Kluyveromyces lactis: one gene and its partner. The protein of the gene in region 1 purifies or fractionates together with the protein of each later gene. This does not show direct contact. Links are inferred from orthologs where the notes say so. Each region holds a gene or a part of one and is shown on either strand. Other genes may lie near its edges. The genes, in order: CDC34 and MET30.

Evidence for each region.
Region 2: the proteins of CDC34 (region 1) and MET30 purify together in Saccharomyces cerevisiae (affinity purification with mass spectrometry; 3 studies listed by BioGRID, with this or other methods). This does not show direct contact. The link is inferred for Kluyveromyces lactis from reciprocal best matches to the Saccharomyces cerevisiae genes CDC34 and MET30.

The regions. Positions count from the first base shown.
Region 1 is NC_006040.1:771,368-774,344, forward strand, and holds CDC34 (SCF E2 ubiquitin-protein ligase catalytic subunit CDC34), read left to right. Parts: upstream 1-1,427; coding exon 1,428-2,306; downstream 2,307-2,977. UniProt on the Saccharomyces cerevisiae protein: Catalyzes the covalent attachment of ubiquitin to other proteins. Capable, in vitro, to ubiquitinate histone H2A. Mediates the initiation of DNA replication (transition of G1 to S phase in cell cycle).
Region 2 is NC_006042.1:2,545,017-2,549,183, reverse strand, and holds MET30 (ubiquitin-binding SDF ubiquitin ligase complex subunit MET30), read right to left. Parts: upstream 2,652-4,167; coding exon 780-2,651; downstream 1-779. Other genes in the region: HIS1 (ATP phosphoribosyltransferase), read right to left, coding at 3,773-4,167. UniProt on the Saccharomyces cerevisiae protein: Substrate-recognition component of the SCF(Met30) complex, an E3 ubiquitin ligase complex that mediates the ubiquitination and subsequent proteasomal degradation of target proteins. Negatively regulates sulfur amino acids biosynthesis genes expression.

The DNA of each region.
Region 1 (2,977 bases):
CTGAAATAGTAAATAGACAGAAAAACAAGAAATAATCTTCTGATTTAAAGGAAAATAAGTCAAAGAAAGTACTTTGGACGAAAACAAATTTCGGCACACAAAGAAAAGCGCGCAGACGAGAAAACATATAGCATCGAGTTGCAACTCCAACACGCCGTCGCGAGATACAAATCTTATAACGTTCCGAATGTGAGGACGGCAGGATCTCAGCAAAACATCCACCTTGAGGTGAATATGTAAGGGAATTAGGCCTGTTGAGCTATGGTGAAGTGCTGTATAGTTCAAAATGGTACGATTCAGACTTGATGAGCGTTATTGCCCTATGGCTCAGTTCGGAAAACCTTACGAGAATGAGAAAAGAAGGAGATGGTGATTGGTGTTCACGTGACCTAAGGTCACGTGAACTTTTCCACTGTTCCTATCGGTGAAAGCGGCGAGTCTAACGTTTGCTGACGCCGAGCAGAATATACTACTGCCCGATGAAGAACTAGTCTAGAGTATAAATAAGAATCTTGAACGTAACAACTGACTACCAGAGTTCTCCGATTCACATTTAATCCTAGTGTTCAGCTTATCAGTTAAAATGCACGCTCTCACAACGATGCGGTAGAAGTGATATTTTGCCGGATGCATTAGATACATTCGAAAAAATTGATGTAATTGGCCCCCGCATTCCCCATCAATTGGAAAATAAACATTCATGCGTAAATGTTGATGCCTTAAATACTGTTACTTTCATCCATGGATTATTAACGCATACCTGGTTGTGCAAATCAACATGAATAATGCCTGGGGACGAAAAGCTTACAAGACGGTAAAAAATATAGAGACATATAGCTATAGTATAAATATCGATTAAACCCCCAACCTGAACAATAGAACGGTATCTTCCAAGAGTACACAACCCAACGGTTTTTGCTTATTTTGTCTTGGGACGGTTTTTCTTGACTTTTCGGCATTCAGCTTGGTTCTTTTTTGTAAACCAGTTTCAGAAGAAATTTAAAAGGTCAAAACACAGACAACTATTAATTTTAATTACAAATTATTGTATTTGCATTTAAATGAGAGTATCAATAAACAGGTGATAAGGAGAGGTTGCATAGACTTTTGGGCGGGTATACTTGTACAAACGCAAAAACTCACACTACTCAGTTGGTATATTGTATTGTCCTATCTTTTGTTTGGCTTTACGTTTCATTACTTTTTTCTTTCTCTTCCTAACGTTTTTGTTAAGTTCTAGCAACATATTATTGTCAAATTTACTCGGAGATATCTTATCACTGAGGAACACCAAGCAACAGTTACTTCTAATCGTCAGCCCTAATAACTGAACTTTCTTGGTCTGGATATATCAGTTTTGGAAAAAGGGGGAAGTTTCAATCAGCACACAGAACATCTTTTTACCATAGAAATACTCTTTCTAAAGTATGAGCGGCAAGAATACTGCAGCTTCTTTGTTATTACGACAATACAGGGAACTCACTGATCCGAAGAAGGCTATTCCTAGTTTCCATATTGCATTAGAAGATGATTCAAACATATTCTTGTGGAACATCGGTGTAATGGTCTTAAATGAGGAATCCATCTACCACGGAGGTTATTTCAAGGCTCAAATGAAATTCCCGGACGATTTCCCATTTTCTCCTCCAACTTTTAGATTTACTCCAGCAATTTACCACCCGAACGTTTACCGTGATGGTAGGTTGTGTATTTCTATCTTACACCAATCGGGGAACCCCACCTCGGATGAGCCCGATGAAGAAACTTGGTCTCCAGTACAGACTGTGGAATCAGTGTTGATTTCTATTGTCTCCTTGTTAGAAGATCCAAATATTTCCTCTCCAGCTAACGTCGACGCTGCTGTTGACTACAAGAAGAATCCGGATCAGTACAAACAAAAGGTAAAACTCGAAGTGGAAAGATCAAAACAGGATATCCCGCAAGGGTTCGTGATGCCAGAATCAACAAAGGCGTATGTTTCCCAAAGAAAGGCAAATGAAGGTATTGACACCATCAAAGAAACCGTTGCCGATAATTTCTGGTACGACAGTGACGAAGGTGATGAAGATGTGGATATCTATGCATACGAGGATTCAGAAGATGAAGAGGATAATGACGATGTTTTCAGCAAAGATTCTTCAAACTTGAATTTCAGCAAAAAAGCTAACAAAAACGATATCGACTCAGATGAAGATGAAGATCTGGTGCCTGAAGAAGCAGAAGATTCTCTAGATGAAAGCGTAATGGATAGAAGAAGTAAATTAATGGAAGAAAGCGAGGAGTTAGAAGATGCAGAAATGAAATGATATGAATCCCTTACAACTTTTTTATTCCCTCAGAAGCAGTGCTTCTCAGCGTATCACATTCATTCACATTTCTTTCCTCACTACTGTCTTGTCTTTCTACTTCAATATACAATTATAAACACACGTTGAAGTTTGGTTACTACTGTAGTGATATACTATTTTGACCTCCAGTATAAATTCATGAACCTGTAACAACTTCAACGTCTTTATTGATTTTGTTTGGAGCATTCGCACCTCTAAATGATGATTGTCATAACCAAACATAAAACTGGAAACTGTCCTTTTTCAATTCACCATAACGCTGAATCTACATTTCAGCCCCTCAGATATTATATTGGAAAGTGAACAACTAACGATGCATCAAGTAACTAATAACTTAATAACACTTTTCGATGACAGTAACCCTAGCCGGTGCTGTGTGCAATATCTATGGAATGTTTTTTCTGGTTTTGGACCTCCATCAGGATATGAGATATAAGGGGGTTGTAAGAAAGACAAAGGAGGAAATGCCTGAAAGATTTTCAAATGGTATGAATTCGAACTTTAGAAAGTTCCTTGGAAATGAGTTCTAATTATGTGAATTGTCTTGACAACTATGCATCCTTCATTTCTTTTCTTTCCCGTTTAATCATGCATCAATCTCGTAAACTTGTTCGGACTGATGATAAATC
Region 2 (4,167 bases), on another chromosome or scaffold:
ACCTCACAGAGTAGAAAACACCAAGACTATTTTTATTCTTAACTCGAAGGTCATAAAACACCAAGTACCCAATACAAACCTGTTCGACCACTGGCTCACCCGACTTATGTATGATTGAAGTCTTAAAAACAGAGGAACATTAATACCTTGCATGAAAACGTCTGCTCATGGTGACAACCCTTTTTTTCTTATTATTTCCTTTCCTTTTCTTTTCAAGGATTCCCAGTCACATTTCTCTACTACGATATTTTCTAAGCTGTTTGGTGAGAATCTGGAAACCAAAAGACGGTCATGTTGACAATGAAAAATGGAAGATGTGTTAGTTTGGCTTTCGAAGAAGAAAACGGTGCGCTGTTACGTTTCAACGAGGCTCATCATCTTAATCATTATGGTGCGATCTTATAATTAGATTCCGCGCATATACGACGGTCGAATTAAATGACGAATTCCACAACTTCGCATGCTCGACATTTGACTTTTTAACGTTGATGGTTTCGGGGTTAATGAAGCCAGGTAGGTACATTGATTTTAAACATTGTTCCGAGCACGATAAAACTTTCAGAAACTGATCGTTGAGTAATGTATTCGTTCGAAAAAGAATGGCATTATGTGGCCTCTGTATTTAGGCAGCAGTTGAGACTAGAAATAAGTTACAATATAAACTTTTGTATTTAGTTATGCTAGTTTTGAAGATGTTGAACACAATTGTTCCTTCACTTCTGTACCATTAGCTATAGTGTAATCGGTGCAACAATGCCAATGGTTCTACGACAGGGCTCTCAAATATCATCAAAATGCCACATTTTCACTTCGCCCAGCTCGTCTCCGCTAACAAATGAACTGTCACCAATTCCTACACATACAATAGGAGCCTTGTGTCCTGTAAAAGTTTGTATGCATTTACCATTTTGAAGATCCCAAACTTTGATGCTCTTATCGTGAGAGCCACTGACAATTCTGAAGTTATCAGCAGCGATATCCCAAACACCTTCAACATGTCCAAATTGAGTTCTAATGCATCTACCTGAACTGACTTCCCAGAGTTTGATGGTGTTATCCAATGAACATGAAAGCAAATGTGTAGGGTATTTCAAATTCGGATCGAATATTCCTGTACAGTCATCTGCAAAATCTTCTTCTAACTCTGGGTTGGGTACTTTTTCAATTTTTTCATCCACCACTAAATTTTCTGTGTCTTTGATCGTTAATGGAATAACTTTTTGCACTTGACCAACATGTCCTCTGAAAACTTTAATACACGAATTAGTACGGATATCCCACATTCTTAATGTTTTGTCGTCACTGGAACTGTAACAAGTGAAACTTTTTGGATGTAGTTTAACACAGTTGACCCATTCCGTATGGCCCCGCAACGTATAACAAGTCCTAGATTCAACATGCCACACTTTAACTGTTTTATCAGCAGAAGCACTCACAATGATTTTTTTGTATGAATCCACCGATAGCACAGAATCCTGGTGGCCTCTATAAGTTGATATACAGGACCCTGTAATGTAGTTCCATACTCTGATTGTCTTGTCTAAAGAAGCTGTGATCATTTTCTGATCATCAAAATAAATACCCTTCACACCATCCGTGTGCCCGGTGAGTCTTCTAATCAAATTACCAGATTTTGTGTCCCATATAGCCACCGTTGAATCGTATGACCCAGTGAAAAGCAGTCTGTGGTTGAACTTTAATGACAATACCCCATCCATATGGCCTTTGAAGAGCTGAATTCTACATCTTCCATTTCTCCAATTGGATTCCACTTGGAACCGTTCCCTATATATTACTTTCCAGGGTCTCGTATAGTACCTGCTATTCCTAGCCCTAGCGGCAACAGTTTGGTTGGGAGAGTTGCCAGGATTGATTAGTGACTTTCCGCCTCCAATTTCATTCCCGTTGCCGTTTGCAACATTTTGGAATTGATTGCCGTTTTGATTATGGACATGTGCTTCATTTACAGGTAAGTATCTTGCCCTCTTCATATGGAGTAAGGGTAGACCCCATCCACAGTTTGGACATTTTCTATCAATATGCTGTTCGCACATATGGTACCATACCCTATCGTCATCAGCTAGTGTTTTCCACCTCTTACATGTTAGCGAGGCGATGCAAAGAGACTGACAGTCAAGGTAACCTAAAATTTTCAAAGAAAGTTCCTCTGGTAAGGTTGAAATGAAATCGATCTTAATCAATTGTTTTACCTCATCAGCAATATAAGATAGCTGGGGAAAACAACAAAGCTGTAATATTCCTTCCAGCATTAATCTTCGTATCTTATCATTGCTATGCTGGAAATTGTCTAGCGTTTGTTTGATAATTGCTCGGTCTGATTCCTTGTCCAAAGCTTTCATTTTCTCCATCCACTTCTCCGACCGTACCTGATCTTGGAAAACCATCGAATCCTTACAAGTGTGTTGAATATCTGGATTATGACGGTAGCAGAATTTAAAGAAATTGAACTGAGGCATTTCACTCGGAAGCTGTATTTCCTCATTGTTTTGATTGACCTTGGAAGCTTTGTTTCGTAGAATTTCCCCCTTCCCATCAGTATCCTGTCGTTGATCTGACACTCCATTCGAATCTACATCTTCGAACTTACGCTTTAAATCCGGTCTGCATGTCTGTTGAAGGTTAAACTCCATTTTGAAATACGATCGTAACTCGTATGGTATATTTGAATATATTGATGAGATAAAATGATGGGGTATATTGACTCAAAACAACTTCCCTAGCGTTCTCTTTCCAAAATGTTTATTCTGTTCCTCAAACTTTTGTAAATATACCAGAACCAGTGATCAAAGTGATGCAGTACTGCAAAACCCTTCGTTTATGTCTCTTATCCACAAGGATATAATTCCTTTCCTTGATTCACAGGAAAATTCTATAAGAACACCACCAATGATGAGCACTAGTACCTTTCTTTACCGAAACTTGTTGTTCTTCCCTATCTGAGCTCTCTCCGCTGCTGATCTTTCGTTTGTTCTGAAAATTTCCAAACCGCTTAATACAACAAATATGATGCTTTATATAAATCAAACAAACTATTGGTAGATCGGGAAGTGAGACGCCCCTTTAAGGATTAAGAAGTCTTACTTTGGCAGTGTTTTTCCTTTTGAAGAAGTCCTTTGTCAGTCAAGAGTTTTGTTTAAGTTTCGATATTTTTACTTTTTTTCTCTGCGCTAAATTTCAGTACTAGCTAAAATCCGTTCTTACTATCTTTATGGGAAAAAAAGATATGTTTGTACTGCTAGGGTAGGTAAGCCACACTTTACAGGTTATCTGGCTTATTACAAGGATATTCCATGTTTTGATCTGACTAAAAGCCAAGAATATAACATGGCACATTTTCCCTTGAAAATCAGTCATTATATATGTATAGTGTAACCTGCTACTGTGCATTCGGTCATTATGCGCTTTTCTGTGTTCATCTCTGGTTCTTTCCAGCGGTGTCTCTGGTGAGGTAAGCTATCTGGATTTTTCTCGTTCATTCACGTGATCAAAATTGCCACAACGACAGAGACAGAATCGAAGACAATCAGTAAGAACGGACACTGGTTCGATCATGCAGGGCTGAAAGGCAGGAGTCAAATACCTACTATGCTGACTTCAAATATTGTCTACAACATGCAATATATTGCTATTGTCACAATTTTTGCTGTATCAATTTATCTATATTAACTTACATTATACACAAGGATACAATAAGGTGCCCATGCATAAGATTTTATATATATAATTATGGTGAGGAAAAGTGCTAATCATTTTAGACACGACAGTTAGAAATTTCGAATACCATGATATCTTCTGCACCGTTTTTTTTCAAGTCATCCATAATATCACCTTTGTTTTTCCTTTCGATCATGGATGAAACCGCTACCCATCCACTGTCGTTGATTTGAGAGATGGTTGGTGCTCTCCTTCCTGGAGTAATTTTTAAAAGTTCAGGTAATTTGTTCTCAGGAGCGTTATAACTACAACTGACGTACTTTTGAGCAGTCATGACACCTTCTATTCTTGATTTTATAGTTCTGAGAAGTTCAACATCTCCCTTTGGATTTTTGGATTCGATTAGATGTGCACTTGTATCCAATACAGTTGCAATAGCGGTCAACCCAGCAGCGCGCATGGTTTCTCCAGATTCGACTAAATCTACGATAG